Sus scrofa: one gene and its partners. The protein of the gene in region 5 binds, or shares a complex with, the protein of the main gene of each other region. Links are inferred from orthologs where the notes say so. Each region holds a gene or a part of one and is shown on either strand. Other genes may lie near its edges.

Region 1 (5,953 bases), on a different chromosome or scaffold from region 5:
TTCTGGTTAACGGCAACCGAAAGGATACAGCTTGATAGAAAGTACATCTGGTTTTTTAATTTTATCTTGCACACCCATCTCTTCCAGCCAGGAAAAACTTTCTTCTTCATCCTCATCGCTGACTGCTTGCCCCCTAGGAAATTTCTATAGTTAGTTAGGGTCTGCATTTCATAAAGATGTTTCTTTTTCAAAACTACTGAATCCATTAAGTCACCAGATGATGTGAAAAGGTTGTTTTAAGCACATACTCCCCATGTCCTAAGCCTGTTCCAGATGCCTCCTTCTTCTCATGGCCATTTTCTTTTATTAAAGGCAGAGAAAATTCAATACCTACACGAGGAAAGAAAAATGTAACTGAGTTTTAACATAACCTAGAAGAATTTAATAAGCGTGCTGGGAGAATACGATATTTAAAAATGAGTTTTAATGAGTTCCCTTTGTGGCTCAGTGGTTAACGAATCCGACTAGACACATGAAGTTGCAGGTTAGATCCCTGGCCTTGCTCAGTGGGTTAAGTAAGGATCTGGCATTGCCGTGAGCTGTGGTGTAGGTTGCAGACAAGGCTCGGATCCCAAGATGCTGTGGCTCTGGCGTAGGCCGGGGGCTGCAGCTGATTAGACCCCTAGCCTGGGAAGCTCCATATGCTGCGGGACCGGCCCTAGAAAAGGTAAGAAAAAAAAAAAAAAAAAAGAAAAAAAATGAGTTTTTACACTTGATCTATTAAAGCAGATCACTTTCATACTGTCTTGACAGCAGCTCACGACACACACATATCTCCTTGAAACACAAGGTTTTTAGGAAACAATACACATTCTCACGACAGGTGGTACCCTTTCATCAAGTATATTCTTCTCACTTTCATTTTTTTTAAAGTGTTGAATAAGCACACTAAGTAGATTTCATAATCCACTAATGAGTTGACCCAGTTTAAAGACCATGTTATTGAAAGGGGAGAGGTTATTTGTACTATAAAAAAATTTCTATAGGAGCATATGCAGATTAGGATTTTCCAGCTCAATCTATGTTTGAAGATTGGAGAAGGAACATCGCTACCTTAAAGCTATGTATAAAGGACAGCTTAATTAAATGCCAAAAAACTAATTCTTAAAATAATTAGATAAAACTAGTAAAAGACATTTCAAATTTTAGCTTTTAAGGAAAGTGTTTACTATATAGTGTGGTATTTTCACTTTAAATGTATAGTTTTACCTTCGGTTTTCATAGCTTCTCTGATACCTCTAGTGGTAGGAGATATAAGGGCTGTCATGACATCATTTCCTGCTAATCCTGCTGCACGGAACAGGATAGTAAACTGATAGGTACAAACGTAGAAATAGGGGCAAAGTTTTGTCTTCAGCAGATTATATAGAGAAGTTAAGCTCACAGACCTATGAAGCAAAAAATTTTTAAGTATTACTAAATATTTAACTTAACATCTAAAATTTAATTTTGCATAATTTAATCTGATGTCTGATTTAAAACACAAATATTACAGACAATGGTTTGACTTTTTGCCATGACACAGAACTTGGCTTTTTAAAGGACTGAAATTGGTCATGGGACTCACTGATGACTTAAAAATTTCTTTTTTTGAAATGCTGTGAACTTTTTATTTAACTATAACTACATAGCACAAGTCATAAGTTTATCACTCTGTGAATTTTCACAAACTGAATACACTGATGATCAGCACCCAGGTTAAGAAAAGATCCTTGGAGTTCTGATCATGGCTCAGTAGTAACACATCCGACTGTATCCATGAGGATGCAGGTTTGATCCCTGGGGTCGCTCAGTGGGTTAAGGATCCGACAATGCCATGAGCTGCGATGTAGGTCACAGACGTGGCTTGGATCTGACGTTGCCGTGGCTGTGCTGCAGGCTGGTAGCTCCGGCTGATTCAACCGCCAGCCTGGGAACTTCCATAAGCCGCAAGTGTGGCCCTAAAAAGCCAAAAAAAAAAAAAGAGGAATTACGCCTACATATTTAACACACACTTATATACATGCCAGAACTACATAAAGAGTGAGAGAATAAGGGCTGAAAAAGTAAATAACTTACATGCTGGTTATTAACAGTTTAAATAAAATAATTCCCTCTACTACTACACACCTCTAAGTCATAAATAAGAAGAGAACACTGCTAAAATGAAAATTCACTCTTTGGTTGCACAAGTTTTTGGGTTTTTTTTTTTTTTTTTTTTTTAACTAATCTTACCAGTCACTCAGTAAATTGTGTTGCAGGGTTTCATCATTTGACCAAGGGTTTGCCTTTCCAGCCATTTTTCTGTCAGCTCCAATACGAGGGAACAGTGGGAGCCATGGGAAGGCAGGGTGGATCCAATAAATAAGGCTCTGCTGGAAGGCGCAACGGAGCTCAGTGCAGAGTTTGGGATCCTAAAATCCAGGGAGGATATTGGACAGTTTTTGCCCCATTAGTAACAGAGAATTTAATTAAAAAGACACTGAATACACCAAACACTATTCTCAGAATCTTTGCTGCTTCCTATAGGAACACGTTAATAACTGTTACAGGGGCTAAAATGTAATTTATTATTGTTTAGGAAAAGGGGCCTTACTTGCCAGCAATTAGTCTGTTAAACCACATATCAGAAGGAGCACTCAGACATAGACGGAATACTTGCCTGCCTCTACCATCCTCTTAACAATGACTGCCTCTTTTTATCAGGAGGGCAATAGTGTGTGTTTGGGGGGGTATGTGTGTAGGTAACACTATGTTCAACCCCCTTCCCTCACTACATTGTTTCAAAAGGAGCCAGTAAAACCCGATACTGTGAATCACCAATCATCCCCATCTATTTATTGAAAAAGACATACCAGGCCCTCTTTCGGAAAATCTCTTTTAAGTTAATTTGAGGTGATGAGCTGCCTGAAAGTAATGCAATTATATTACTTTAAAACCATTCTAGGAAGTTCCCGTTGTAGCTCAGTGGTAACGGGCCCCACTAGTATCCATGAGGATGTGGGTTTGATCCACGGCCTTGCTCTGTGGGTTAAGGATCTGGCATTGCCACGAGCTGTGGGATAGTTTGCAGACATGGCTCGGATCCCACACTGCTGTGGCTGTGGCCAGCAGCTGTAGCCCCGATTTGACCCCCTAGCCAGGAAACTTCCATATGCTGCAGGTGCGGTCCTAAAAGCAAAAATAGAATAAAATAAAACCATCCTAGATCTAGCTCACTGACTCTAAATTTACAACAGACTATCACCCAGGTCATAAGAATTAGTGTGTTAAAAAAATACATATACATTATGTGAGAAAATCAGTAAAATAACCAATCAGTTTTTGCAATCCTATTCCTCAATTGCTTTTCATTTCTTTTTCATTTTTCATTCTTTTCATTTCTTTTTCATTTTCATTTTCTTTCTCAAAAGGCCTTAGAAAACAATGGTTTAGTTCAAGCAACTCTTGCCTGCCAACAATGAATAATACTCACAACAGGTCTATAAATTTAACGGGCAGCTATTGAATCTGATTTTTGAAACTGTATGAAAGCATCATTTGGGAAATAAAATATTTTCCAAGTTCCTGTGTTTTTAAATGTCAACAGAAAAACTTAATGGAAAGAAATATCTCTGCTGTTTCGCAGAGAAGTACACTGTACACTTAATTTGTTACTTTTTTTTTAACTTTTTTTTTTTTTTGGTCTTTTTGCCTTTTCTAGGGCCACTCCTGCGGCATATGGAGGTTCCCAGGCAAGGGGGCTAATTGGAGCTGTAGCCACTGGCCTACGCCAGAGCCACAGCAATGCGGGATCTGAGCCGCATCTGCAACCTACACTACAGCTAATGGCAACGCCGGATCAAGGCCAGGGATCGAACCCGAAACCTCATGGTTCCCAGTTGGATTCGTTAACCACTGCGCCACAACAGGAACTCCCTTAAATTGTTACTTTAAAACACAGCTGTTTTCCTTGTGATGGAACATGATAGAGGATAATGTGAGAAAAAGAATGACTACCTCTATGTATGACTGGGTCACTCTGCTATACAGCAGAAATTAACAGAACATTGAAAACCAACTATAACAGAAAAAATAAAACTCTTTAAAAAAATAAAAAATAAAACATGGCTGTTTTCTTTCAGTTACCTGAATACTTTGAGGCAAAGTGACTTCTGTTGCCCTACAATGCTGGATGACACCTTGAGCCTCTTCCTGTGCTTTCAAATGATCTGCCCAGGTAAAGGGTTGAGAAGAGGTAAAAAGGAGTCGAGTTTTAATACTCCAGTCCACAGGTAACTCAGTACTTTCTGAGGATGGAATATCAGATTCGGAGAATGATACATGAGGAATCTTTCAGAAAACAAAGAAAACAAAACTTAGAAAAAGGGTACCAAGAAAGAAGCCCTCCCATCTATAAAATTCATCAACTAAAATACAATCCGTGAAACTTCAAAATGTTATGTATTATACAATAAATAACATTGAAAATACACTCACACTGTGAAGAGGTATGGAAACAATAAACCTTTAACACTGCTTACCTCTGGAAAATGGGATTTTTTTTGTTGTTGTTGGGGGGTGGTACTGGATGCACAGTTTTCATTTTTTAGTTTATTATAGTTCTATATAGTTTAGTTACAAGAGACAAGTACTATTTTCATAATCATCATTTTTAAAAAAAATCCACTATAAAATAGTATTATCAAAGCAGAAATCTTCCAAGTATTTTTTCTTAATTTTTTAAATCTTTGGGGCTGCACCCTCGGCATGTGGAGGTTCCTGGGCTAGGGATCAAACCTGCGCCTCTGCAGCTGCTCGAGCCGCTGTAGTTGGATTCTTAACCCAATGCACCACATCGGGAACTCCTCCAAGTATTTTTTAAAAAGCATCCTTTAAGCTTCTAAAACTCTGGAACCAGGGCAAAGCTGCTCTTGCAGGTAACTTAGGTTGGGTTCCAGGAGGCCATATTTAAGATACATTTCCCAACCTCAAATATTCCTCCCCAACTGTTTTGCTGTCAAATCAGTATTCTCCACATTACAGTGATTCTCTTAGATGACATTATTAAAAAAAATAATAAGGAAGAGGAGGCAATTTCCAAGAGACCCTGTGAAGACCATTTATTTGCAAGGAAAGGAGACTGGGTCTTGGGGAACTCTTCTTGTCTGCTCCCATTAGGACAAACTATGTATTTGTTAAAGTATCACGAAAGTAGCTGAGGAACGGAATCAAGAAGAGTGTTTTGGGAGTTCCCTTTGTGGCTCAGCCATTAACGAATCCAACTATGATCCATGAGGATGCCTGTTTGATCCCTGGCCCAGCTCAAGGGGGTTAAGGATCCAGCATTGCCATGGGCTGTGGTGTAGGTGGAAGATGAAGTTTGGACCCGGCTGGCTGGGGCTGTGGTATAGGCCAGCAGCTGCAGCTCCAATTCCACCCCTAACCTGGGAACCTCCATGTGCCACCGGTGTGGTCCTAAATTAGGAAAAAAAAAAGAAAAAAAAAAAAGAAAGCAAGCAAAGAGTGTTTTGTGTGCGTGGTGGTGGTATCGAGGTTCAGTGATATGCCACAACTGTGTTGCTAATCTGGGGATTTGGTCTGAAGATTCAGTGAAGGATTAAAAGTTAAAAAAGCAGCGAAGCCTGGAGAGGTTAGCTCTGAGTGATGAGCTAGACTTCTTAACTACCTACAGAAGAGTTAGAAAACTACAGGGGTGAAAGGAAAACGCACATTTATGCCTAGTTTAGCACTGGCGCTGTTATAAAGAAAACTACCACACACAAAGCCTTGAGTCCTTTACCATCATTTCAGTCCTGGTGGAGATGATCACTCTCTGTGCAGCCATTTTTCAAGTAAAATGCTTCTGAGAAGTATGGATTGATATTATAAGAATATACACTCTGAGGACATTTAAAAAGTATTACCTGGAGAAATTCACTAATGGCTCGTCTTTCAGAAAACTTTTCTTCCCATAGCAAATCATTTTCTTGAT
Region 2 (5,953 bases), on a different chromosome or scaffold from region 5:
CAGTGAGAATTCTGTGCTCCATTGAGGGTGGGATAATTTAGGAAGATTGTGGACAAACCTTTTCAGGGAAGAGAAGAGGAGAAAATAAAGGCCGAAATGTTCAGCTAGAGGACTCTGATGAGCCCGGGGAGCTGCTGTCAGATCTCTGCGGCGCTCTCACGTGGAAGAGGGTACGGGTGATCCCTGAATGCCTCTGGGGTTGCGGGGTGGGGGGGGCACCTTCAACCCTGTACAGTCAAAGCCTGTGAATAACTTTACTGTTGGCCCCTGCATCCAAAGTCCTGTGACCGCAGATTCAAGTGAAAAAATTCTGCCTACAGGTGGACCATGCAGTTCAGACCCATATTGTTAAAGAAGCAAATGTGTTTGCTTTGTAATAACTCAGAGGACAAGTGGAACCAAAGGAGAAGCAGCTTCAAAGAAGTAAGAACGTTCCAGGATTAAAAGAGACACGATACAAAATCAGGATGTCTTGCAGTTTCATTTTTATAAGTTAGGTGGCCGCAGAGACTGCGTTAAATGTCATTATTGTGGTGCACTTGACACTGACTGAATGACAGATGCAAAAGAGTTCTTAAAACTAGTTCTCCTTGGGAGTTTCCTGGTGGCCAGGGGATTAAAGGTCTGGCATGGGCACTGCTGTGGTGCTGTGGTTTGATCCCTGGCCTGGAAATTTCTGCATGCCACAGGCATGCCCCCCCCCAAAAAAAAACCCAAACAAAAAACCCCCAAACCATCTAGTTCCCTTCTTCAGTATTCTTTGTTCTACCAATGCAAATTCCACCCATAATGCTGCCACAGGGCCACTCCATGGGGCGCCATCGAGCAGCAGTCAGACTAACACCGTCCCTGGATCTGCGATGTGGGTGACACCCAGGAACGATGTCTGGCCCTCCTCACTTTGGCCCCCCGCTGTGGGGCCCCAGGGCATCTCCAGGCTGCACCCTCCCAGCTCCTCCCTAGGATGGGCTGCAGGGAGCCCTTGGCAAACCTTCATGAGCCGACACCGCAGGTAGCTGCTCAGGACAAAGCGGATCCTCTCCATCTCCATCTGATGGATGCTGACCTTCAGGTCCCCCTTCTTGGCTCTCCTGAGATTTTCCTCCTATTAACAGAGAACATGAGGGGCGCTCCCTTCGTGGCTCATCAGTTAACGATTCTGATGAGGATCCATGAGGATGTGGGTTCAATCCCTGGCCTTGCTCAGTAGGTTAAGGATCCAGTGTTGTGAGCTGTGGTGTAGGTCGCAGTCTCGGCTCCGATCCTGTGCTGCTGTGGCTGTGGCGAAGGGTGGTGGCTGCTGCTCCATTGTGACCCCTAGCCTAGGAACCTCTATATGCTGCAGGTGTGGCCCTAAAAAGCAAAACAAACAAACAGAACAAAAACAGAGAACATGAAGTCTGTAAAAAAGCATGAGCATAGGAGCGTCAAAGGCTAAGCACTTTTTTTGTTCACTGCACGAGGCCCACAAGGACCATCACTGTTGGCAGTGGTGAAGCCACATGCGGTCAGGACAAAGCAACTTGTAAGGGCTCTCATTTTAGTTTCTTAATCACACAGTTATACACGACTACAGTCTTGTTGCAAAAAGTGCAAACAGTACTCTTTTGCTTGTAGAAAATGACCATTTGAGTAGAATCTGAATCTGGGTGGTCAGAAGGGCCCAGAAGAACAACTCAACTGTAAAGGAGATAACACAGCAGAACAGAAGAAAGATCTGAAGGGTCTTTTTCATTTGTTTTATGGCAGCACCCAAGGAATACGGAGGTTCCCAGGCTAGGGACTGAATTGGAGCTACAGTTGCAGGCCTACACCACAGCCACAGCCACACAGGATCCAAATGGCATCTGTGACCTACACCACAGCTCTTAGCAACACCAGATTCTTTTTTTTTTTTTTTTTTTTTTTTTCTTTTTGCCTTTTCTAGGACCACTTCCCGTGGCATATGGAGGTTCCCAGGCTAGGGGTCTAATCAGAGCTGTAGCCACCACCTATGCCACAGCCATAGCAATGCCAGATCCGAGCCGCATCTGCGACCTACACCACAGCTCACAGCAACCCCAGATCCTTAACCCACTGAGCGAGGCCAGGGATCGAACCTGCAACCTCATGGTTCCTAGTCAGATTCATTAACCACTGTGCCACGACAGGAACTCCAACACTGAATTCTTAACTCACTGAGCGAGGCCAGGGGTTGAGCCCACATCCTCATGGATACTAGTTGGGTTCTTAACCCATTGAGCAACAATGGGAACTCCTTTAAGGATGTTAAAAGTAGTGTGAAAACATTAGCCAAGAAACTGTAAAACAGCTACCCTGAGGCTGACAGTGACCAAAGCCGGGCTCATCTAAGCCAAAGGCAACAAACTCAGAGGCCACGGGGCCAGGAGGGTGAGGTACAGCGGAGGAAGGTGGGCGCCCAGGGCCTGGGGCATTGGGGGGCACCTGAAAGGGTGGCCCTTACCCTGCTCTGCTCAGCTGTTCTCATGTACAGACACGGGAGTGGTGTGAACAGGTTTTGAGAAGCCTATATCCATGGGGATTTCATGGGAAGCCAACACTCAGATGTTCCCAGGGGCTCTCACGCTTTGTAAACGTAGATAACTCATTCAGTGTTTAAAACAAAACTAGGCTGGGCCAAACAGGTTTGCTCTCAGAGCACGACCTCTCTCACTCTGCCAACATCCCTCCTAGAGTTGTCCTTTGACCCGAGACAGGCACCTCTTACCATGTGATCCAGCTGTTCCATGACACACTCTACGATTTCAGACTTGTTTTCCAGCAGCTCAGGTGCAAACTTTTCATTCATCCAGGCCTGAAAAAACAATGCCACCCCCCCCACCCCCAACGAAAGAGCATTACTCACAATGGAGCGAAATAACCCTGTGAGTTAGTGCACTCATCCCAAATCACAGCTCCTTCAGCAAAGATGACTGCTGACCAGATGGAAATACTGGAAATGCTTTGAAAACAAGTTATGCTTTTGTTTTTGTTTTTTTGTGGCCGAACCTGTGGCATATGGAAGTTCCCAGGCTAGGGGTCGAATTGGGGCTGCAGCTGCCGGCCTACACCACAGCCACAGCAACAAGGGATCCAAGATACGTCTGTGACCCACAACCCCAGCTCATGGCAATGCTGGATTCTTTTTTTTTTTTTTTTAATCTTTGCCTTTGCCAGGGCCACTCCCTTGACATATGGAGGTTCCCAGGCTAGGGGTCAAATCGGAGTTGTAGCCACCAGCCTACACCACAGCCACAGCAACACGGGATCTGAGCCGTGTCTGCAACCTACACCACAGCTCACGGCAACACCGGATCCTTAACCCTCTGAGCAAGGCCAGGGATTGAACCCGCAACCTCATGGTTCCTAGTCGGATTCGTTAACCACTGAGCCACGACAGGAACTCCTAATGTTGGATTCCTAACCCACTGAGCAAGGCCAGGGATTGAACCCGCATCCTCATGGATATTAGTTGGGTTCTTTACCTACCTAGCCACAACGGGAAATGTTTAACTATATTTAGCTATGTTTAATGATGGCTTTTTAATTTCTTTTAGTGGGCGGGCTGTGTTCACGACCTTTTATTCAACCAGCATTATCAGGAAAAAAAAAAAAAATCACCATTCACTTTGAAATGTTGGCAGCATACCTCCTGCTAAGAATAACCCTACCTGGTAGCCAGAGGGTGCGCTTTACCAAGAAGCAGCACCTTTCTACTCTTCCTGCTACTGTCCACCAGGGGCACCAGCACCCCTCTATTCTGGGAGGAGACGTGGTAAATCTACAGTCTCTTACTGAAGCTCAGAGCACTTCACGCTTTCCTACTCATCATTATACTCATCTGAGAAGTGGGTACGGTTATTTGTACCTTACTCATGAGAAACGGAGATGAAGTTGTTAGTCCAAGAGTATAAAAGGTCACAATAGATATGGAAATTCTGCCACTACAGAGTTTGGGAATGAGACGGTCAATTCCTCATTTATGATTCAGGTCCAGACACTTGGTACCTTTCAGAAATTATCAAGGCTTAGGGAACTAAAACAGGGGACTGAGGAAATCTTGCAATCACAGGGGATTTCGCTTTAGCATAGCTCAGAATTACAGGCCAAGCAGCCTCCATTTATTCCTTCTGACATCCTTGCATCTCTGCTTCTCCAACATCACCATCTGGACATGTTATTAAGTATCAGGTATTGCTACTATCATTTTTTCCAGGTGCTCAAAATTTTATAATAGTATTGCAGATATATAGAATTAACCAGAAAGACCATCTTGTATTTTCTTTCTTTTTTATGGCTGCATGTTAGTTAGTTCCCAGGCCAGGGACTGAACCTGCACCTCCACAGTGACCTGGCCTGCTGCAGTCAGATTCTTAACCCACTGTACCACAGTGGGAACTCTGAGACGTCCTGTATTTTCAAGGAGCAGAATTTGTGAAAAAAAGATCAAATTATCAGAGGACTTATAAAGCAGGAATTTTTATTTCCTTTTTATTCAATAGGTACAAAAATACACACAAGGAGTTCCCACTGTGGCTCAGCGGGTTGCGAATTTGACTAGTATCCACGAGGATGTAGGTTCAATCCCTGGCCTCATTCGACGGGTTAAGGATCCGGTGTTGCCATGAGCTGTGGTGAAGGTCACAGACGTGGCTCGGATCCCAAGTTGCTGTGGCTGTGGTGTAGGTGGGCAGCTGTAGCTCCGATTTGACCCACAGCCTGGGAACTTCCATATGCCATGGGCGTGTCTCTCAAAAGATTAAAAAAAAAAAAAAAAAAAGCTCTGATATAAAAACAAATTAAGAATTCACTGCAATATGGTCAGAATTCTCATAGAAAATATAATTTCAAAATTACCTTCTTGGGTTTTGTCACTCATGATGGCATTTAGGGTAGGAGAGCACAAAGAATGCTAAAGCTTGGGAGTTCCCGTTGTGGCACAGCAGAAATGAATCCAACTAGGAACCATGAGGTTGCGGTTTCGATCCCTGGCCTCGCTCATTGGGTTAAGGATCTGGCATTGCCGTGAACTGTGGTGTAGGTCGCAGACGGGGCTCGGATGTGGCGTTGCTGTGGCTCTGGCATAGGCCAGCGGCTACAGCTCTGATTAGACCCCTAGCCTGGGAACCTCCATATGCCACAAGTATGGCCCTAAAAAGACAAAAAAAGAAAAAAATAAATAATGCTAAAGCAACAAACATGAGAGAGTTCTGCAAAGGGGCAGTTAAAGTGGGAAAGAAAAAGCAGTGACTGCAGTGGATCAGAGACCGGGTTCATATCCTGGCTCTGCTGCCAGTGCATGACCTTGGCCAGTTATGTGTGTTAATCTCGAAGCCTCAGTGTCCTCATTTGTAAAATGGAGGTAATACCTGCCCCGATGGGCTGCTGTAAGGACTATTACCACTCGCAGCTAACACCCAGCGAGTGCTCAGCATGCATCAGACAGCACTCTGAGCACTTCCCACATGTTATCTCGTTTAATCCTCACAACAACTCTGCGAGGCTACCATTATTAACTCCACTTGACAGCTGAGAAAGTGCTGCAGACAAACTGTCCAACTTGCCTAAGTTGTAAAACAGACGAGTGGCAGGCAGAGATTTAAACACAGGTAGTCTGGGGGAAAAAAAATATACAAGCAGCCGGGGAGTTCCCTGGTAGCCCAGTGGTTAGGATTCAGTGTTGTCACCGCTATGGCTCGGGTTTGATCCCTGTCCTAGAACTTCCACATGCTGATGCGTGAGGCCCCGAGCAAAAAATAGAGGCAGTCTGAACTCTGAAACCATCAAGACTTCATGAGAAAACAACTATAAACAACTCTGGCACACAGGAAATGCCCAATAAACCATGGCTGCTCTGACTAAAAGAAGTATCCCAGAAGTGATTTTAGGGAAGCAGTAAACATACAGAACAGCTGATAAAAGAAAAGTATTTGGAGGAAAAAGAAGAATAAGG
Region 3 (5,953 bases), on a different chromosome or scaffold from region 5:
ACTGCCCCTCAGCCCCCACTGCAACTTCAGCTGCAGCCAGGCCATGCACAGGACCATCGCAGACAGTTCAGGGAGCACGTCCTTACTGGGTGATTTTGTCTTGCACCCACTGGTCCGTTAGTCCAACGATGGCCCACCTGGAAGGAGATGAGATGGAGTCTTGAACAGGGCAGGTGGTACTGTGTGACCTGACCCAGACACTCTATCAGACCAGCAGTCTCACCCTGCGGAGCAGACAGGTGACCGGGCTCCCACTGGGTTGTCACCACTGTGGGCATGCTCAGTACCCAGGAGGGAGATCCCCTATGACAAGGGCAGCAGGCCCCCACACCTGCGTCCTGACTCGCCTGGCTGCAGGCTACCCTCTCTGGCACAGGGTGACAGCACCTTTGGGCCTTGGCGTGGCCAGTGCCAGGCCCTGTCCCAGCCCCCTGCCATTTTGGGGCTCTGACTCAACACAGACTGTCACAGTCCCCACTGGAGGTGGTCAGGGCCAGGAACCTCACCAGACTGTCACCTTGCAGAGGAGAAAATTGGGACCCAGGGCAGAGGGCTGGGAGGGCCAGAACTACTGCCCCTGGCTCAGGCTCTGCAGGTTCAGTCCCCAGTCAACCCACCTTCAGATGCCACAGTGCGCTGAGTGTGGCAGACTCAGAGGTGGGCCAATGGTTACCCCTACACCAGATTTCACCTGGTGTGGGAGGACAGGGCTATGCAGAGAAAGTTGTGCCCCGACTGGGGCCACGCACCACAGCATGTCGCTCAGGTCCTTAGACATCATCCACGCCAGGTCGAACATCAACATGGCCGACTGCAAGGAAGAGAAGCCTGAGGCCAAAGTGGCCGAGCTCATGGCAGGGCCAGACCCACACTCCCAGGCCCAGGTCCCTGTAAAGAGGTCTCCCGACAGGGCGGTCTATAAATGGAAGCGTCCAGCCTCCTCTGAGAAGATGGTCTGGGTTCCAGAAGGAGACCAGGAGATCAGCGTCCGACCAGGAGACCCTAAAGCCCTGTCTGCAGTGAGACACTGGCCTGACTTCAGCATCTCCAAGGAAACTGGTTTCCAAGAGAGCTTCCCAGCCATGCATCTGTTTCCACCCGTGAACCCACCTACAGCTCAGAATCCTCCCGCCAAGGGCAAACCAATCTCAAAAGGGGTTCTGAAGTACCTGCTCAGAGGCCAAGGCCCCAGGTCAAATTCTGAGACTAAATACAGGATTTTTACTAGAACCACTTTCTAGGTCCCCTTAAGGCCCTGAGCTCTGCTCAGCAGCACAAGAATCAACCCACTGGGTTTTCTGATGAAAATCCTAACACACAAATCAAGTTTCATCTTCTTGCACAGAAATCAGCGCAGGCTCGTTCTGTTTTTTGATGATGAACAGAAAGAGTGGCTGCTGTTCCCTGAGCACCTCTGAGTGTGAGAGGCCATCCCAACAACTGCCTTTGAAGTGAGGCCTGCTATCTCCCTTTTTCCCAGGAGGAGAGGCTAAGAGCAGATCCTCCCCTCAGGCCACAGGGTGGAAGCTGCAGGCTTGGATTTAAACCAGTCCTCGGGGGCTCTAAAACCTCTGCTGATTCCTCCTCCTCTTTTAGGACAGTGCCCCCTAGAGTCCGGACATGGCAGTGAATCCCGGGATCTGGACTTACTGACGTCCCGTGGTATTCGTACTGTTCGTAGTCAAAAAGGATGTCTCTTCTGTAAAGACACAAAAGTAGGTCTTCAACAGGAAGCAGAATAGGAAAACAAACAGTGGGAAAAATGCTAGAATGGACGATACTCAAAGAAACCCAAACGAAATCATTTGTTTTCACTTATTGACTCTTCCAAGGACTGAAAGTGTACAGCATTGGGAAGGGAGTGACCGGGGCACAAACCTTGTGTGGCTACCAAAGATGTAAAATGGCACAGTCCCAGATTCCACTCCCCACAAGAAGTTAAGGCAAGACAGCAGTTCAAAGGGACAAGCCAGACAGGCCTCGCGGTGTGCAAGGTTGTTTGCTTCAGCCTGACAGTCACCGCAGAACACTGAAAGCAACCTCCAGCTCACAAAGAAGGGGAAGGCCAGTTCGGCACCGTGCACTTTACAAAGGCCTGTGGAGATTTCCGAACTATGGTTCTATTACGTGGAAAAGTGCAAAATTAGGTGTGATGATGTAAAACGTGCACAAGCACAGACAACCCCGGGCAGATCAATCCAAAGCTGGAACCTCTTCCTATTAGTGAAAATGGATTATATTCACTTTTCTTTCCTGCACTTCCCCAAATGATTTTACAACCAGCCTCCCCAAGTGGGGCTGACAGGGGCACGCCCTTAGATGGAGCAGCAGGGCAGGGGCTGGACACTCAGACACCCACGAGGCCTTATAGGGATGCAATTAGCAGGGAATTCCCAGCAAGCGCACTGCTGCATGTTCACCTTGAGCTAGAGTATCCTCTCCAACATTTTCATTTAAAGCACTTGAGTTTTTTAACTTGCAATATGAAGAGGAACTATGGATAGCTTAGTTTTCTTTTCAATTTTTTTTCTATGAGGAGTTTCATACAATTCCATCTATTGAATTTGTAAAGAAAAGTATCTAGATTTAGAAAACTATTAAAACGAGGGACCAGGGCTGTCATCCCTAACAGATGGCAGGTGTTGGGAGCTCTTGAGCCCAGCCCATCACTCATGGGACATGAAGGTGACATGGAGGGTCCCTGAGCTTTTCCCCAATGCAGGGGCCACATGCTCAGTCCTAGAGACACTGGCCCAAAGGCTCTAAACTCAACACATTATCCTAAAATGGAAAAAAAAAATGCACAAAGCCCCCAAGGAAAAGCCAGGCATATCAGTGATACTCACCCCACCCCCCACCCCCAGCTGTCCCGCAGGCAGGGCTGCTGATGGAAGGACCCTCACCTGCGGGCCTCCCACTCTCTTCGTTGCCTCCTCTTCATGGTTCGCTCCACGATTTCCTGATATAGGACAAAGAGAACAAAAGGTGAGCCAAGGAGTTTGGCTGAGAAGGATCCAATTTGTCAGAAGCCACTGAGGGTACAGCCTGCCCCTGGTGGGACGGCAGGGCCCCTCAGCCCCGTGGCCACTGTGGATGGGATTGGACGCTTCCCCAGCATCTGCTTAGGTGACACCCCAGATCCACTGTCCCAGTACCATGTGAGCCACAAAAAGCCCACAGCTGCCACGTCCCCGCTTTCCCACCATGTTAGAAAGAACTCACGGGGAGTTCCTGTCATGGCTCAGCGGTAATGAACCTGACCAGGATCCATGAGGATGTGGGTTTGATCCCTGGCCTTGCTCAGTGGGTTAAGGATCTGGTGTTGCCATGAGCTGCAGTGTAGGTCACAGATGCAGCGGAGCTGCATTGCTGTGGCTGTGGCTGGCAGCTACAGCTCCAATTCGACCCCTAGCCTGGGAACCTCCATATACTGCAGGTGCAGCCCTAAAAAGCAAAAAAAAAAAAAAAAAGAGAGCGCTCCTATTCCTCACATCCTAACCCCACTGTTTCCAGCAACTATTCTAATTTTACAGGCACAACCTCTTTCTCTTCCCACAATAAAGGCACAGGTGAGGGCGCAGTTTTAAAATCTGTAGTCTCTAGACTTCTGCTTGTAGAAGGATAGGTAGATGTATTTGTCTCTATTCATACACTAAATGTACCTAGAAATCCTGGTAGTGCATATTTAAAAAAAGAAAAGAGTCTGAAAGGTGGAGAGGAAGGCTGACCAGCCAAGGGTCCCAGGACCTGGGAATGTCACAGTAGGGAGTTCCCAGAGTTTTCCTTTTTGTTCATATATTCCAGAGAAGCTGGCCACACAGAAACACCGATAGAAGAAAAAATCCCCAACAAAAGCCAAAGAACCAGGAAGGACCGGCCTTGAAAGAGAAAACTTTTAGAGGATAACTGCTCAACTCTAACTGCACCACCACCAGAAACACCATGGTCCCACCCCATCCACCACAGCAAAGGCCCAGTGCCCCTCCCTACCTCCCACCAGGGTGGGGTCAGAGGGCAGGTATGGTGCCCAGTGCTAAGAAGGAGCCACACTCCTCAGGGAGAAACTGGGTCATCACAGATTGCTGGTCAGAAGGTAACATGGTACAGACACTCTGGGAAAGTTTGGCAGCTTCTTAAAAAACTGAACATATTAACTACCACAGAAGCCAACAAATGCACTCTTAGTCATCCATTCCAGGGAAATGAAGATTCATGTTCACACAAACCTGCACACAAATGTTTATAGCAGCTCTCTTCACAATAGCCGGAAATGAGATAGCCCAGATGCCCGTCAGGGAGTATATGGCTAAACAAACCGAGGTGGGTCCACACCATGGAACAAACTCAGAAACAAAAGGGAAGCAACTTGGAGTTCCCGTCATAGCTCAGTGGTTAGCGAACATGACTAGTATCCATAAGGATTTGGGCTCGATCCCTGGACCTGCTCAGTGGGTTAAGGATCCAGTGTTGCTGTGAGTTGTGGTGTAGGTCACAGACACGGCTCAGATCCAGTGTCACTGTGGCTCTGGTGTAGGCCGGTGGCTACAGCTCCGATTGGACCCCTAGCCTGGGAACCTCCATATGCTGCGCATGAGGCCTTAGAAAAGACAAAAAAAAAAAAAGGGCAAGGAGGTGTTCTCGTTGTGGCGCAGCGGAAACGAATCCGACTAGGAACCATGAGGTTGTGGGTTCGATCCCTGGTCTCGCTCAGTGGGTTAAGGATCCAGTGTTGCTGTGGTATAGGTCTCAGACTTGGCTCGGATCTGGCGTTGCTGTGGCTGTGGTTTAGGCCGGGAGCTGCAGCTCCAATTCAATCCCTAGCCTGGGAACCTCCATGTGCTTCAGGTGTCCCCCCCCCGCAAAAAGGCAAGCCATGGTCCTGAGGGAACTTTTGGAGGGTGATGGAACTCTTCTGTTCTCTGTCGTGACATGACTTTACACATTGTCAAATCTCATCAGATTAGACCTAGAGAAATTTATTGTGTAGAAGTTAAATGTCAGTAAAGCTGATTAACAAAACCCCCACGGTCCAAGGATTCTTTGACCCTCCCCAGAGCGCACAGTAGGGTCCTGTCCCCTTCCCTTGTGGCTGTGGGACACTGTGGGACCCCAAGCCTGGGCAGGAGGGCTCACACAGCTCACTAGCAAAAAACCAAACAAGTAAAAAAATGGGCAGAAAACTAAAACAGACATTTCTCCAAAGAAGACAGACAGATGACCAACAAGCACATGAAAAAATGTTCAACATCACTAATTATTAGAGAAATGCAAATGCAAATCAAAACTACTTCACTCCAGGGAGAATGGCCATCATCAAAAAGTCTATAAATAACAAATGCTGGAGAGGGTGTGGAGAAGAGGGAACTCTCCTGCACTGTTGGTGGGAATGTAAATTGGTACAACCACTCTGGAAAACAGTACCGAAGTCCCTTAAAAAACTAAAAATAAAATTCCCGCGGTGGTGCAGTGTGTTAAGAATCCGACCGCTCAGGTTGCTGCAGAGGTGTGGTTCGATCCCTGGCCTGGCCAAAAAAACTAAAAATAAAGCTACCATATGATCCAGCAATATCGCTCCTGGGCATTTACCTAAGAAAACCATGATTTGAAAAGATACATGCATCCCTGTATTCACTGCAGCACTATTCACAATACCTAAGACATGGAAGCAATCTAAATGTCCATCAACAGAGATATGAATAAAGAATATGTCGTGTATTTATGCAATGGGATACTACTCAGCCACAGAAATAATGCAATTTACAGCAACATGGTGGACCTAGAGATCACCATACAGGTGAGATAAGCCAGACAGAGAAAGACAGAAATCATATACCACTTATATGTGGAATCTGCACATAACAAATGAACAGAGAAAATAAACACAAACTCATGGATACAGAGATCTGCTACTGGGGCGGGGGGTGGGGGTGGGGGGCAGGGACGAGGGTGAAGG
Region 4 (5,953 bases), on a different chromosome or scaffold from region 5:
TTGTAATGATTGAACCAATCCATCTGCCAACATAAAGATAGTCATTTGACAAGGCTTTAAGTATATTGTTTAAGTACACTGTCATTTGACAAAGCTTTAAGTATACTGTATAAGTATACTGTCATTTGAAAAGGCTATAAGCTATTAAGTGAATGGGTCAATTTTCTGTACAGCAGAAATTGGCACAACATTGTAAATCAACTCTATTCACATTGATGAGGAAAGTACGTACACACAAATTTTATGGAAAATCCCCAAATAACAATGCCTGTTTTTTTTTTTTGTTTTTTTTGTTTGTTTTTTTTTTTTGTCTTTTGTCTTTTGTCTTTTTTTGTTGTTGTTGTTGTTGTTGTTGCTGCTATTTCTTGGGCCGCTCCCACGGCATATGGAGATTCCCAGGCTAGGGGTCGAATCGGAGCTGTAGCCACCGGCCTACGCCAGAGCCACAGCAACGCGGGATCCGAGCCGTGTCTGCAATCTACACCACAGCTCACGGCAACGCCAGATCGTTAACCCACTGAGCAAGGGCAGGGACCGAACCCGCAACCTCATGGTTCCTAGTCGGATTCGTTAACCACTGCGCCACGACGGGAACTCCAACAATGCCTGTTTTTTTAATCCTACTGATGGATCAATAACAAGTAACATAATGAGATCCTATATTTGTCTTTCTTTTTTTTGTTATTGGTCTTTTTGGGGCTGCACCCACAGCATATGGAGGTTCCCATGCTAGGGGTCAAATCAGAGCTGTAGCTGCTAGCCTACACCACAGCCACAGCAACTCAGGATCCAAGCTGAGTCTGTGACCTACACCACAGCTCACAGCAACACTGGATCATTAACCCACTGGAGCAAGGCCAGGGATTGAACTAGCATCCTCATGGATACTAGTTGGGTTTGTTGAGCCAGGACAGGAACTCTCCGAGACCCTTTATTTTGATAAGAGTTTTCCATATATTATTTAGGATTATTCCTGCCATTCTTTCTCAGTATAAACTAAAGACCTAAAACTACTGAAAAACAAATGTGAGAAACACTGTAGATACTATTACACAACAATGCCAGAACCTCAGCCAGTTTCCAAATTCATAAGCTTGAACAACAGTGCTAACTTATAACTTACTTCTTCAGCAGACATGTGAAATCGTAAAGCATTTGGCAAGACACTGCCATACTCCCACCTGAGTGCTCTAATCCGAAGCAATCGGTCATACCTAGGACGTTAACAAGGTATTAGATGGCATAACAGAAGGGATATCAGAAGTTGTTTTGATCAGGAGAGACTCAAGACTCACAACCACTGAAATGTAACGCGGAATTTTATTTGGCTCCTGAGGCAGACAAACCACTTGTCATGTCATGTGACATCTTTGGGGCAATGGGGAAAACAGGCATACAGACTGGACAGATGCTGTGCAGGCATGTTCATTTCTCTAGGAATGATAATGGCACAATGGTCCTATGAGAAAAGTCCATAGGTCCTTATTTCTTGGAGATGCATACTAAAATATTCAGTGGTAAAATGCCCAAAGTTCTACAGTGGTTTAGCAGACAAAACAAGATGAAGCAGTTATGGCAAAATGTTAAGAACTATTAAACCTATATGATGGCTTCATGGGGATCTGTAATAATATTTCCCAGTTCTACGAATACTGTAATTTTTCACAATAAAAAGTGTTTAAATGGGAGTTCCCGCTGTGGCGCAGTGGGTTAAGAATCCAACTGCAGCAGCTTGGGTTGTTTTGGAGGCACAGGGTTTGATCCCCAGCCCAGGGCAGTGGGTTAAAGGAGCCAGCACTGCCACAACTAAGGCACAGGTCACAGCTGTGGCTCAGATCCAATCCCTGGCCCAGGAACTTCCATATGCCATGGGGGTGGCCATTCAAAAAAAAAGTTTAAATGGAAAAAAGAGAAGAATTTAGAATGCTTATAAAAGACAAATCTAAGAGGACTTCCTGCTGTGGCACAGCAGAAACAAATCTGACTGGTAACCATGAAGTTGCAGGTTTGATCACTGGCCTCACTCAGTGGGTTAAGGATCTGGCATTGCCATGAGCTATGGTGTAGGTTGCAGATGCGGCTCGGATCCCTCGTTGCTGTGACTGTGGCATAGGCTGGAGGCTGTAGCCCTGGGAAACTCCATATGCTACAGGTGTGGCCCTAAAAAGCTTAAAAAAAAAAAAGACAAATGTAAGAATTTGTTCCCCACCTGAAATGTTTAATTAGGAAACCACATGGCACCCCAGCAAACAGAGACACTCACAAGTATGCTATAGTGCAGCGCTGGTTTCTCAACAAAGAACAGTGTCGAAACTTGATGGTTGGTATCAAATCACTTCGTCCACCTGACTTCGCTTCATTCCTGGTAAAACATTTAAGGAGGAAATGAATATCTAATTCAGTATAAGTAGAATTTTCAAAGCCCACTGACAACTGACTCCATGCTTGTTTTCATCCACTTATGTGTAGGTTAACCTACACAAACAGCAACTGCCTCCACATCAGAGCTTCTGCTAACACACTAAAAGATAAAAAAGCCAAATCTAACTAATTTGCCTAGGACCTGTTTAGCCATGTGGCACTTTGTGTTTTCACACTGATTAATCTTTGTCTCCAAAAGATAAGCATCATGTTTCTTCACTTTCTGGGTATCTCTTTTTTAAGCTGGGATAAGAGAGCAAGTATCATGGTGCCTAAGATTACAGCCTCATGTCTTGTTTGGTTTTTTTTTTTTTCTTTTGTCTTTTTAGGGCTGCACCTGTGGCATATGGAGGTTCCCAGGCTAGGGGTCAAATTGGAGCTGTAGCTGCTGGCCTACATCACAGCTCACAACAACGCCAGATACTTAACCCACTGAGCGAGGCCAGGGATCAAACCCGCAACCTCATGATTCCTAGTGGGATTCGTTTCCGATGTGCCACAACGGGAACTCCTCCTATCTCGTTCTCATTCTATGGAGTCCTCTTTTCGTGATACTTCCAAATCTTCATTCTAAGAAAGTGAGCTAAGAATTCTAGACTCAAATGGTCCTCCACTCAACCAACAAATTTTTCTTTTTTTCTTTTTTTAAGGGCTGCACCCACAGCATATGGAAGTTCCCAGACTAGGGGTTGAGTCGGAGCTGTAGCTGGCAGCCTACACCATAGCCACAGCAACGTGGGATCTGACCCACATCTGCGACCTACACCACAGCTCACAGCAATGAAACTGTGTCCTCATGGATACTAGTCGGGTTTGTTAACCACTGGGCCACGACAGGAACTCCTAACAAATATTTCCTGATCTTCAACTACGTGTATGTTCTGTACTTCAGGGTCCTTTACATAAAGAGGGAGAAAATTTTGGTTTTACCCTATGAAATAGACATCTCCGTAGATATTAGACAAGCATCACATTTTATTTATTTATTTATTTATTTATTTATTTATTTATTTATTTATTTGCTTTTTAGGGCCGCACCTGCGGCATATGGAGGATCCCAGGCTAGGGGCAAATCAGAGCTATAGCTGCCAACCTACACCACAGCCATAGCAATGTAGGATCTGAACCTCATCTGTGACCTACACCACAGCTCACAGCAACACTGGATCTTTAACCCACTGATTGAGGTCAGGAATCAAACCTGCAACCTCATGGTTGGATTCGTTTCTTCTGCACCACAGCAGGAACTCCAAGTATCATATTTTAAAACCAGATAGGAGACCCCACTGTGGCACAGGGGGTTAATGATCCGGCATTGTCTTTGTGGCAGCATCAGTTTGATCCCTGGCCTGGGAACTTCCATATGCTATGGGTGCAGTAAAAAAAAAAAAAAGAAAGAAAAAGAAACAGATGTACAGGAGTTCCCATCGTGGCTCAGTGGGAACAAACCTGACTAGTATCCATGAAGGCACAGGTTCCATCCCTGGCCTTAGTGGGCCAAGGATGCAGCATTGCTGTGAGCTATGGCATAGCTTTGCAGATGTGGCTTGGATCCCAAGTTGCCTTGGCTGAGGTGTAGGCCCACAGCTATAGCTGCTATTCGACGCCTAGCCTGGAAACCTCCATATCCCACGGGTGCAGCCCTAAAAAGACAAAAAAAAAAAAAAAGTTAAGGTGGCAAATTCTATGTAATGTATATTTTCCACAATAAAAAAGGGAGGGGGAACAAAGCCAGATGTGCAGAATGAGTAAGAATCTACTTTGGAGGGTTTTTTTTTCCTTTTTATGGCCCCGCTACAGCATATGGAAGTTCCCAGGCCAGGGGTAGAATTGAAGCTGCAGCTGCAGGCCATAGCCACAGCCACATCAGATCCTATACTGGAGTTTGCGGCAATGCCAGATCCCGAACCCAATGAGCAAGGCCAGGGATCGAACACACATGCTCACAAAGACTAGGTTGAGTTCTTAACCTACTGAGCCATAACGGGAACTCCTACTTTGGAGTTTTAAAAGGAACCAGATGAATACAAAATGCATGTGCCTGCTCCAGGCCCTGAAAACAGAGGCAAAACCTATGTCCCATCTCATCACATCTTCTAGATCTGTTCTAGACACTTCTGCCACTCTATGAATGTTGGGTTATAAAGAAATAGTACAAATAAAATACACCCAACCTGGAGTTCCCATCGTGGCTCGGTGGTTAACGAATCCGACTAGGAACTATGCGGTTTCAGGTTCGATCACCTTGCTCAGTGAGATAAGGATCCAGTGTTGCCATGAGCTATGGTGTAGGTCACAGACGAGGCTCGGATCTGGTGTTGCTGTGGCTCTGGCGTAGGCCGGCGGCTACAGCTCCGATTCGACCCCTAGCCTGGGAACCTCCATATGCCTTGGGTGCAGCCCTAGAAAAGGCGAAAAGACAAAAAATAAAATAAAATAAAATACACCCAATCTAACATCAGAGTACCTTACTGAGTATATAAGAACTTTCTGAAAAAAAATTCACATTTATACATGTGTAATTAAATAGGAATAGATTTCGTTTGACAAATAATTCTAAGTAGAAATAGTGGTAATAGTGATTGCCCCCCTAGAAAGAAACTAGGGGGGTAGGGCACAGAACTTGGATCATGAATTTCCAAATGGTATGAATACAGGAAAATCATTCCCTTACCAGACAAAGGCCTGTTAGGCTACCTCCTAAATATGTCTGGAACCTGTTCACTTTTTCCCTGGTCGGCTCACCTCTCCTGTCACTAGCATGTCCAGCACACCTCCCTCTCCTCTCAGCCACTCTGTCCACTACTCACATAGTAGCCAGGATGGTCTTTTAAAACACAAACCTGCCATCACCTGCCTCACGTGCTTGATCTCCCCTGGTGTCACCCTTTGCCTACTCACTAAACTTCAGCCACACTGGCCTTCTTTAAGGATCATTCCCTGAGCATCCCATGCTTCCATGACTCTGGGCCTCTGTATATGCTGTTTCCTCCACCTAGAATACTGTCTGTCCACAATGATTGCCTCACTAAAATCTGCTTCTCCTTCAGGCCCCAGCTGAAGTGTCTCTTCCTTGGAGAGAACATCCCTGATTCTTTTGTCTACTAATATTTTCAATTCATTATTCTCTCTCCTGGTGTTGTTTTCCTTCTTAGCTTGTATTCCAATTTGGTGTATATCTGCCTTCTGCATTACACTGTGAGGGCTATAGGGGCAGAAATCTTGATTATGCTGTTTACGATTGAAACACCAGATCCAGAGTTCCCATTGTGGCGCAGCAGAAATGAATCCAACTAGGAACCATGAGGTTGTGGGTTCAATCCCTGGCCTCGCTCAGCGGGTCACGGATCCAGTGTTGCTGTAAGCCACAGTGTAGGGGGCACACGTGGCTCAGATCTGGTGTTGCTGTGGCTGTGGTGTAGGCCGGCGGCTACTTCTCCAATTAGACCCCTAGCCTGGAAACCTTCATATGCTATGGGTGCGGCCCTAAAAAGACAAAAACAAACACCAGATCCGCTTGTTAGCTCATAAT
Region 5 (5,282 bases):
TGCCAGACCAACCGCTCAGGAGGGCGACTGTATCTTCAGACACGTGGCTCCAAATTCATCAAATTCCAGGAGATGAAGATGCAAGAACATGTGAGTTTGGGGGATGTGGTCTGGGGCTCAGGGAAGGGGGAGCTTGGGAGTCCGTTTGATTCTTGTAGTCGTTCAGAAGCATAAGAAAGAAAGTAGAACAAAAGGGGAGAGTCGAGGCAGAGAAGTCAGTGAGAGCAGGACGGGGTTTAACTGGAACTTTCTGAGTTGGGAAGAGTTTTAAAAAAAAGCCTAGTTTTCCTCTTGTCAGCTTGCTTGAGGCTAAGCAGACCAAGAAGTGGCCATAGTGTGTATAAGGAGAGAAAGGCAGGCCTCATGGACCCTTCTTCCCCAGAGTGACCAAGTGCCCGTGGGAAACATCCCTCGCAGCATCACAGTGCTGGTGGAAGGAGAGAACACGAGGATCGCCCAGCCTGGGGATCATGTCAGTGTCACCGGTATCTTCTTGCCGATCCTGCGCACCGGGTTCCGACAGGTGGTCCAGGTGAGAAAGTTGAAAATGAGGTGGTGGTTCCTTTTTTCTCATCTCCTCACTCTTTAACAGCCCCACAGAGAAGAGTGACAGCAAGCAACAGAATACCAAACAAAGCAGAACAGAGGGTTCTGTCAGGAACTCCTCAGGGACTCACATGGAAGGGCAAGTTAAAGGCGCTTCATTCATACCCTGGTGTTTTCCTGCTCAAGGGTTTACTCTCAGAAACTTACCTGGAAGCCCATCGGATTGTGAAGATGAGTAAGAGTGAGGATGATGAGTCTGGGGCTGGAGAGTTGAGCAGGGAAGAACTGAGACAAATCGCAGGTGAGGGGTCAGGGGAAAGACTGGGATCCAAATTTCTCCCTAGCAGTTTTTTTCTCCCAGAAAATACTTAGTCTTCTTTTTCCCACAGAGGAGGATTTCTATGAAAAGCTGGCAGCCTCCATTGCCCCGGAAATATACGGCCATGAAGACGTGAAGAAGGCACTGCTGCTCCTGCTGGTGGGAGGGGTGGACCAGTCTCCTCGAGGCATGAAGATCAGGGGTGAGTGGAGGCATTTGGGAGGAAGAAGGGTAAGGACCTTCCAGCGTCCACAGGCCATAGAATAAGCCTGCCTCGGCTTCACGGGCACGGGGGGCATGGGGGGCAGACCTTGAAAGTGTTGTTTTCGGACAACTTGGATTGAAAGAAAAGTCACTCGGGGGCCTCCTTCCTCCAGGCAACATCAACATCTGTCTGATGGGGGATCCTGGAGTGGCCAAGTCTCAGCTCCTGTCTTACATTGATCGCCTGGCCCCCCGCAGTGAGTTCTCAGACCCTGGGAGGCAAGCCCGAGGACAGGAGTAGGACCACCTCGTTCCGTGTTTGTGCTCTTCTGGGAGGGGTTGGGGGGTGGAGATGTGATCAGCGCCACCACGTCGCGGATCTGCAGCTGCCTCGGGCAGGCCTGGCTGGGTCAGCGGAGCGGTCGGGCAGGCCTCGCCTCACTGGCCCCCTTCCTTCTTTCCTTTGCCCTCTTCTTAAACACAGCTGCTAACTTCCTCTCTTCCTGCCCCTTTTGTTCAGGCCAGTACACAACAGGCCGAGGTTCCTCGGGAGTGGGGCTCACGGCCGCCGTGCTGAGAGACTCCGTGAGTGGAGAGCTGACCTTGGAGGGTGGCGCCCTCGTGCTGGCCGACCAGGGCGTCTGCTGCATTGATGAGTTTGACAAGATGGCGGAAGCTGACCGCACAGCCATCCACGAGGTCATGGAGCAGCAAACCATCTCCATTGCCAAGGCAGGCATTCTCACAACACTTAATGCCCGCTGCTCTATCCTGGCTGCTGCCAACCCTGCCTACGGACGCTACAACCCTCGCCGGAGCCTGGAGCAGAACATACAGCTTCCTGCGGCTCTGCTCTCCCGATTTGACCTCCTCTGGCTAATCCAGGACCGGCCTGACCGAGACAATGACTTGAGGTGAATATTCGCAGCACAACAGCCAAGGAGCCACCCCTCAGTTACACCCTCTGGGGGCGGGGGAATATTCGCAGCACAACAGCCAAGGAGCCACCCCTCAGTTACACCCTCTGGGGGCGGGGGATTGGAAACCTCCTCGTCAGCCCATGGAAACTGGAGCATTTCCCTCTTGCAGAAGGGGCTGGTCCAGTTCTCAGGGTGGGTCAGGGTTGAAATGCAGATGATCATTTTCTGAGAAAGTTTGTCTCTGCTGGGCTGTGACACACAGAGCTGAGAGAGTAAGATGTAGGCTTGGGGTACAGTGCGGATCACCGAAAAAAGTGTTCATACTTGCCTCCCCTCTTCCAGGTTGGCCCAGCACATCACCTACGTGCACCAGCACAGCCGGCAGCCCCCTGCCCAGTTTGAACCTTTGGATATGAAGCTTATGAGGTAGGAGAGCTGGGTGAGGACTGGTGTCGTTCCCCACTCGCTGTGTGTGTGGCAGTGTGTGCATCTCTCTCTGTCCTGGGGTTCCCCTGCTTGGCCACAGGAGACCATCGCATAGAGCTTGCCTTTCCTACCACTTGCATCACCTACCTGTCTCAGGGCTGAGAGGGGTTCAGATTTTAGGCAAAGCTGGATCCTGCTGCATGGATATTTTTCTTTTGGGAGCCACACCCATAGTATATGGAAGTGCTTGAGACCAAATCCCAAGCCACAGCTGTGGCAACACACCGCAAGGGGCTGGGAATCAGACCTGTGTCTCCACAGACACAACAGATCATTTCACCTGCTGCACCACTGTGGGAACTTGGGATACTTGATAGCACTGTTTTCTCCACAGAGTCTGCCCAAGAGCTCTAGGTATTTTATCTATTTTCCTGAAGTTAACATGTGACATGGCTAAAGGAGAGGACTTCACCATCTCTTAAGACAGGTGGATTTGTCTTACGCAAAAACCATTTTCCTTTGGGCCCTTCCTGACTTTTGTCTCTGGCTGACAGTGCCAGCCCCACACTGCGGATGTTTGGCAGGAGGGGCAGGGCCTAATTTTAAGTTGGGAGTAATTTGAAATGTGACACTTGGAGAAACGAGTGATTTTTAAGCAAGCAACATTAATTTGTTTTTCCTACTTATAAGTACATCTACCCCCAAGAGTTTTCTTAAAGGTAAAACTTAATACGGAAAAAACACACCCTGCCATCTCTCCTTTCCCACAGGCGTTACATAGCCATGTGCCGGGAGAAGCAGCCCACCGTGCCCGAGTCCCTGGCTGACTACATCACCGCCGCATACGTGGAGATGCGGCGAGAGGCCTGGGCTAGTAAGGATGCCACGTACACTTCCGCCCGGACCCTGCTGGCTATCCTGCGACTGTCCACGGCGCTGGTGAGTGCCGTCTCTCTTGCACTGGAGGATGGTCTGTTTGGGCTCTTACTGGGCAGCCTGCCTTAACGCACCCTCGCTGCCTCCTCCCTCCCTCCCAGGCCCTGCCGGGGCTAAAGTGCTGACAGTGCAGATAGTGGTCCTCTCCGTGCTACCGCACTGTGGGTACTTGCTGCTCCAGCAGGGCACGCACAGCGTCCTGGAGGGAAAGGCCTTCTCCCTGCTTCTCAGACCTCACCGAGGAGGCGGGTGGGGTTCACTTCACTCCCTGTGTCCTAGATCCTGTGCTAGAAACCCACCCTCACCTTGGACCTTAGTCCTGGGGGCTCCAAAGTGCTGTTCGTGCAGGTAGTGTGATAACCTAACCTACTGCTGAGCTAGCACTTCCCGAGCCCCAGGGGCGCAACCTCTGCCCATCGCCTTCTTGGCTGAGCTCCCAAGCTCCATCTGTCATGGTGGGGAGCCCAGTGGAGTTCCGAAGGGTCTGGTCTCCCTCACAGGACAGCTGAACACCGGGACTGGCCAGTGTTGAGAGGCGGAGACTTGGGCAATTGCTGGACGCTGCCCTGGGCATTGCACTTGTCTCGGTCTGACAGTGCCGGCCCCACACTGCGGATGTTTGGCGGGAGGGGCAGAGCCTCTACGCATTTATGAGCGGGAACATGTGGGTTGCCAATCTTAAAACTGGAGTCGGGGGGGGGTGTCCCTGACTTTGTTCCATCACCTCCTCCGTTCCCATCTCTCCCTACCTTCCCCTTAGGCGCGTCTGCGGATGGTGGACACTGTGGAGAAGGAAGACGTGAACGAAGCCATAAGGCTGATGGAGATGTCCAAGGACTCGCTTCTGGGTGACAAGGGCCAGACAGCTAGGTGAGTGGCTTAGTGCAGGATGTCCGGAGTTGCCTTGACCTTGAGTAGAACAGTTATCCTGTGACTTCTGCATCCCATATCTGTGATGCTGGTCTCAGGTCTTTAGACCCCTAACACTGACCACCGCTGTTCAGATACTGGCTGTTCTGGTTACACCCTGGCCTTACACACCCATGCTTGTTTCCTCCAGGACTCAGAGACCGGCAGATGTGATATTTGCCACTGTCCGTGAGTTGGTTTCAGAGGGCCGAAGTGTCCGATTTTCTGAGGCAGAGCAGCGCTGCATATCTCGGGGCTTCACACCTGCTCAGTTCCAGGCAGCCCTAGATGAGTATGAGGAGCTAAACGTCTGGCAGGTCAATACCGCCCGGACCCGGATCACTTTTGTCTGATTCCGACCTCTTGAGACACTGGGGTCTGTCTACTGGGCTTACCGTGCTAACCCCCCTTCCTTTAAAGGCCTAATGATGCCCTGGGGGGTGGGGAGAGGCCCAGCTGCACTTGTATTCATTCCTTTTGCTAATAAAGTGTGTAGATTTGCTGCCTTCTGTTAAAACAGAATTTTGCAAGTTTTCAAGATTCACCTTACTCATAGTTGTCTTACCCAGCCACTTAGTCTCAAAAAAAGGTATGGCCACTAGTACCTCTGCCTCCTAGGGTTCAGGCATGTATCACACTGTAGGGAGCACACAAGGCTGCAGTAAGAGAGAAGCCACCCCTTGGCAATACGGTGCCCGCAGGGTCAAGGCCTCAAGATCCAAGATGAGAGACCTGTGTGGTACCTAACAGAGAGGACAGAGCCACCAGAAGGGGTGCTGAGGGGCTGCTCCCCTTTATTAGTGACTGGTTTCTCTAAAGGGAGTAGAGCACCCCTCCCCTTGACAGTTGTCCGACCCTGGTGCATCACCCCTTCAAGTACCCTCTTGTCAGAAGAAGAGCCCCCGCATCCGCCTGCCGATGCCTTGTCGGTCATAGAGGACGTTGAACTTGTTCACGAACTGGTTCATGGTATTGCACGTTTTGGTGATGGTGCCTAGGTAGGCCATGAGTCCCACGTCATT

The links.
Region 1: MCM7 (region 5) and DONSON share a complex: the UniProt entries of both Homo sapiens proteins name them as parts of the replisome complex. The link is inferred for Sus scrofa from reciprocal best matches to the Homo sapiens genes MCM7 and DONSON.
Region 2: MCM7 (region 5) and GINS4 share a complex: the UniProt entries of both Homo sapiens proteins name them as parts of the CMG helicase complex. The link is inferred for Sus scrofa from reciprocal best matches to the Homo sapiens genes MCM7 and GINS4.
Region 3: MCM7 (region 5) and CDC45 share a complex: the UniProt entries of both Homo sapiens proteins name them as parts of the CMG helicase complex. The link is inferred for Sus scrofa from reciprocal best matches to the Homo sapiens genes MCM7 and CDC45.
Region 4: MCM7 (region 5) and GINS1 share a complex: the UniProt entries of both Homo sapiens proteins name them as parts of the CMG helicase complex. The link is inferred for Sus scrofa from reciprocal best matches to the Homo sapiens genes MCM7 and GINS1.

Annotation. Positions count from the first base shown.
Region 1 is NC_010455.5:197,196,699-197,202,651, forward strand, and holds part of DONSON (protein downstream neighbor of Son), read right to left. Parts: coding exon 5,886-5,953; intron 4,312-5,885; coding exon 4,108-4,311; intron 2,394-4,107; coding exon 2,215-2,393; intron 1,389-2,214; coding exon 1,210-1,388; intron 331-1,209; coding exon 249-330; intron 134-248; coding exon 29-133; intron 1-28. UniProt on the Homo sapiens protein: Replisome component that maintains genome stability by protecting stalled or damaged replication forks.
Region 2 is NC_010459.5:10,658,392-10,664,344, reverse strand, and holds part of GINS4 (DNA replication complex GINS protein SLD5), read right to left. Parts: intron 2,816-5,953; coding exon 2,729-2,815; intron 1,106-2,728; coding exon 992-1,105; intron 1-991. UniProt on the Homo sapiens protein: Required for correct functioning of the GINS complex, a complex that plays an essential role in the initiation of DNA replication, and progression of DNA replication forks.
Region 3 is NC_010456.5:51,138,141-51,144,093, reverse strand, and holds part of CDC45 (cell division control protein 45 homolog), read right to left. Parts: intron 2,963-5,953; coding exon 2,904-2,962; intron 1,700-2,903; coding exon 1,651-1,699; intron 812-1,650; coding exon 750-811; intron 138-749; coding exon 87-137; intron 1-86. UniProt on the Homo sapiens protein: Required for initiation of chromosomal DNA replication. Core component of CDC45-MCM-GINS (CMG) helicase, the molecular machine that unwinds template DNA during replication, and around which the replisome is built.
Region 4 is NC_010459.5:31,065,668-31,071,620, reverse strand, and holds part of GINS1 (DNA replication complex GINS protein PSF1), read right to left. Parts: intron 2,363-5,953; coding exon 2,264-2,362; intron 1,215-2,263; coding exon 1,124-1,214; intron 24-1,123; coding exon 1-23. UniProt on the Homo sapiens protein: Required for correct functioning of the GINS complex, a complex that plays an essential role in the initiation of DNA replication, and progression of DNA replication forks.
Region 5 is NC_010445.4:8,005,390-8,010,671, reverse strand, and holds the end of MCM7 (DNA replication licensing factor MCM7), read left to right. Parts: coding exon 1-90; intron 91-382; coding exon 383-532; intron 533-732; coding exon 733-847; intron 848-935; coding exon 936-1,067; intron 1,068-1,242; coding exon 1,243-1,326; intron 1,327-1,589; coding exon 1,590-1,983; intron 1,984-2,331; coding exon 2,332-2,415; intron 2,416-3,185; coding exon 3,186-3,354; intron 3,355-4,111; coding exon 4,112-4,221; intron 4,222-4,411; coding exon 4,412-4,613; 3' UTR 4,614-4,782; downstream 4,783-5,282. Other genes in the region: COPS6 (COP9 signalosome complex subunit 6), read right to left, coding at 5,148-5,282. UniProt on the Homo sapiens protein: Acts as a component of the MCM2-7 complex (MCM complex) which is the replicative helicase essential for 'once per cell cycle' DNA replication initiation and elongation in eukaryotic cells.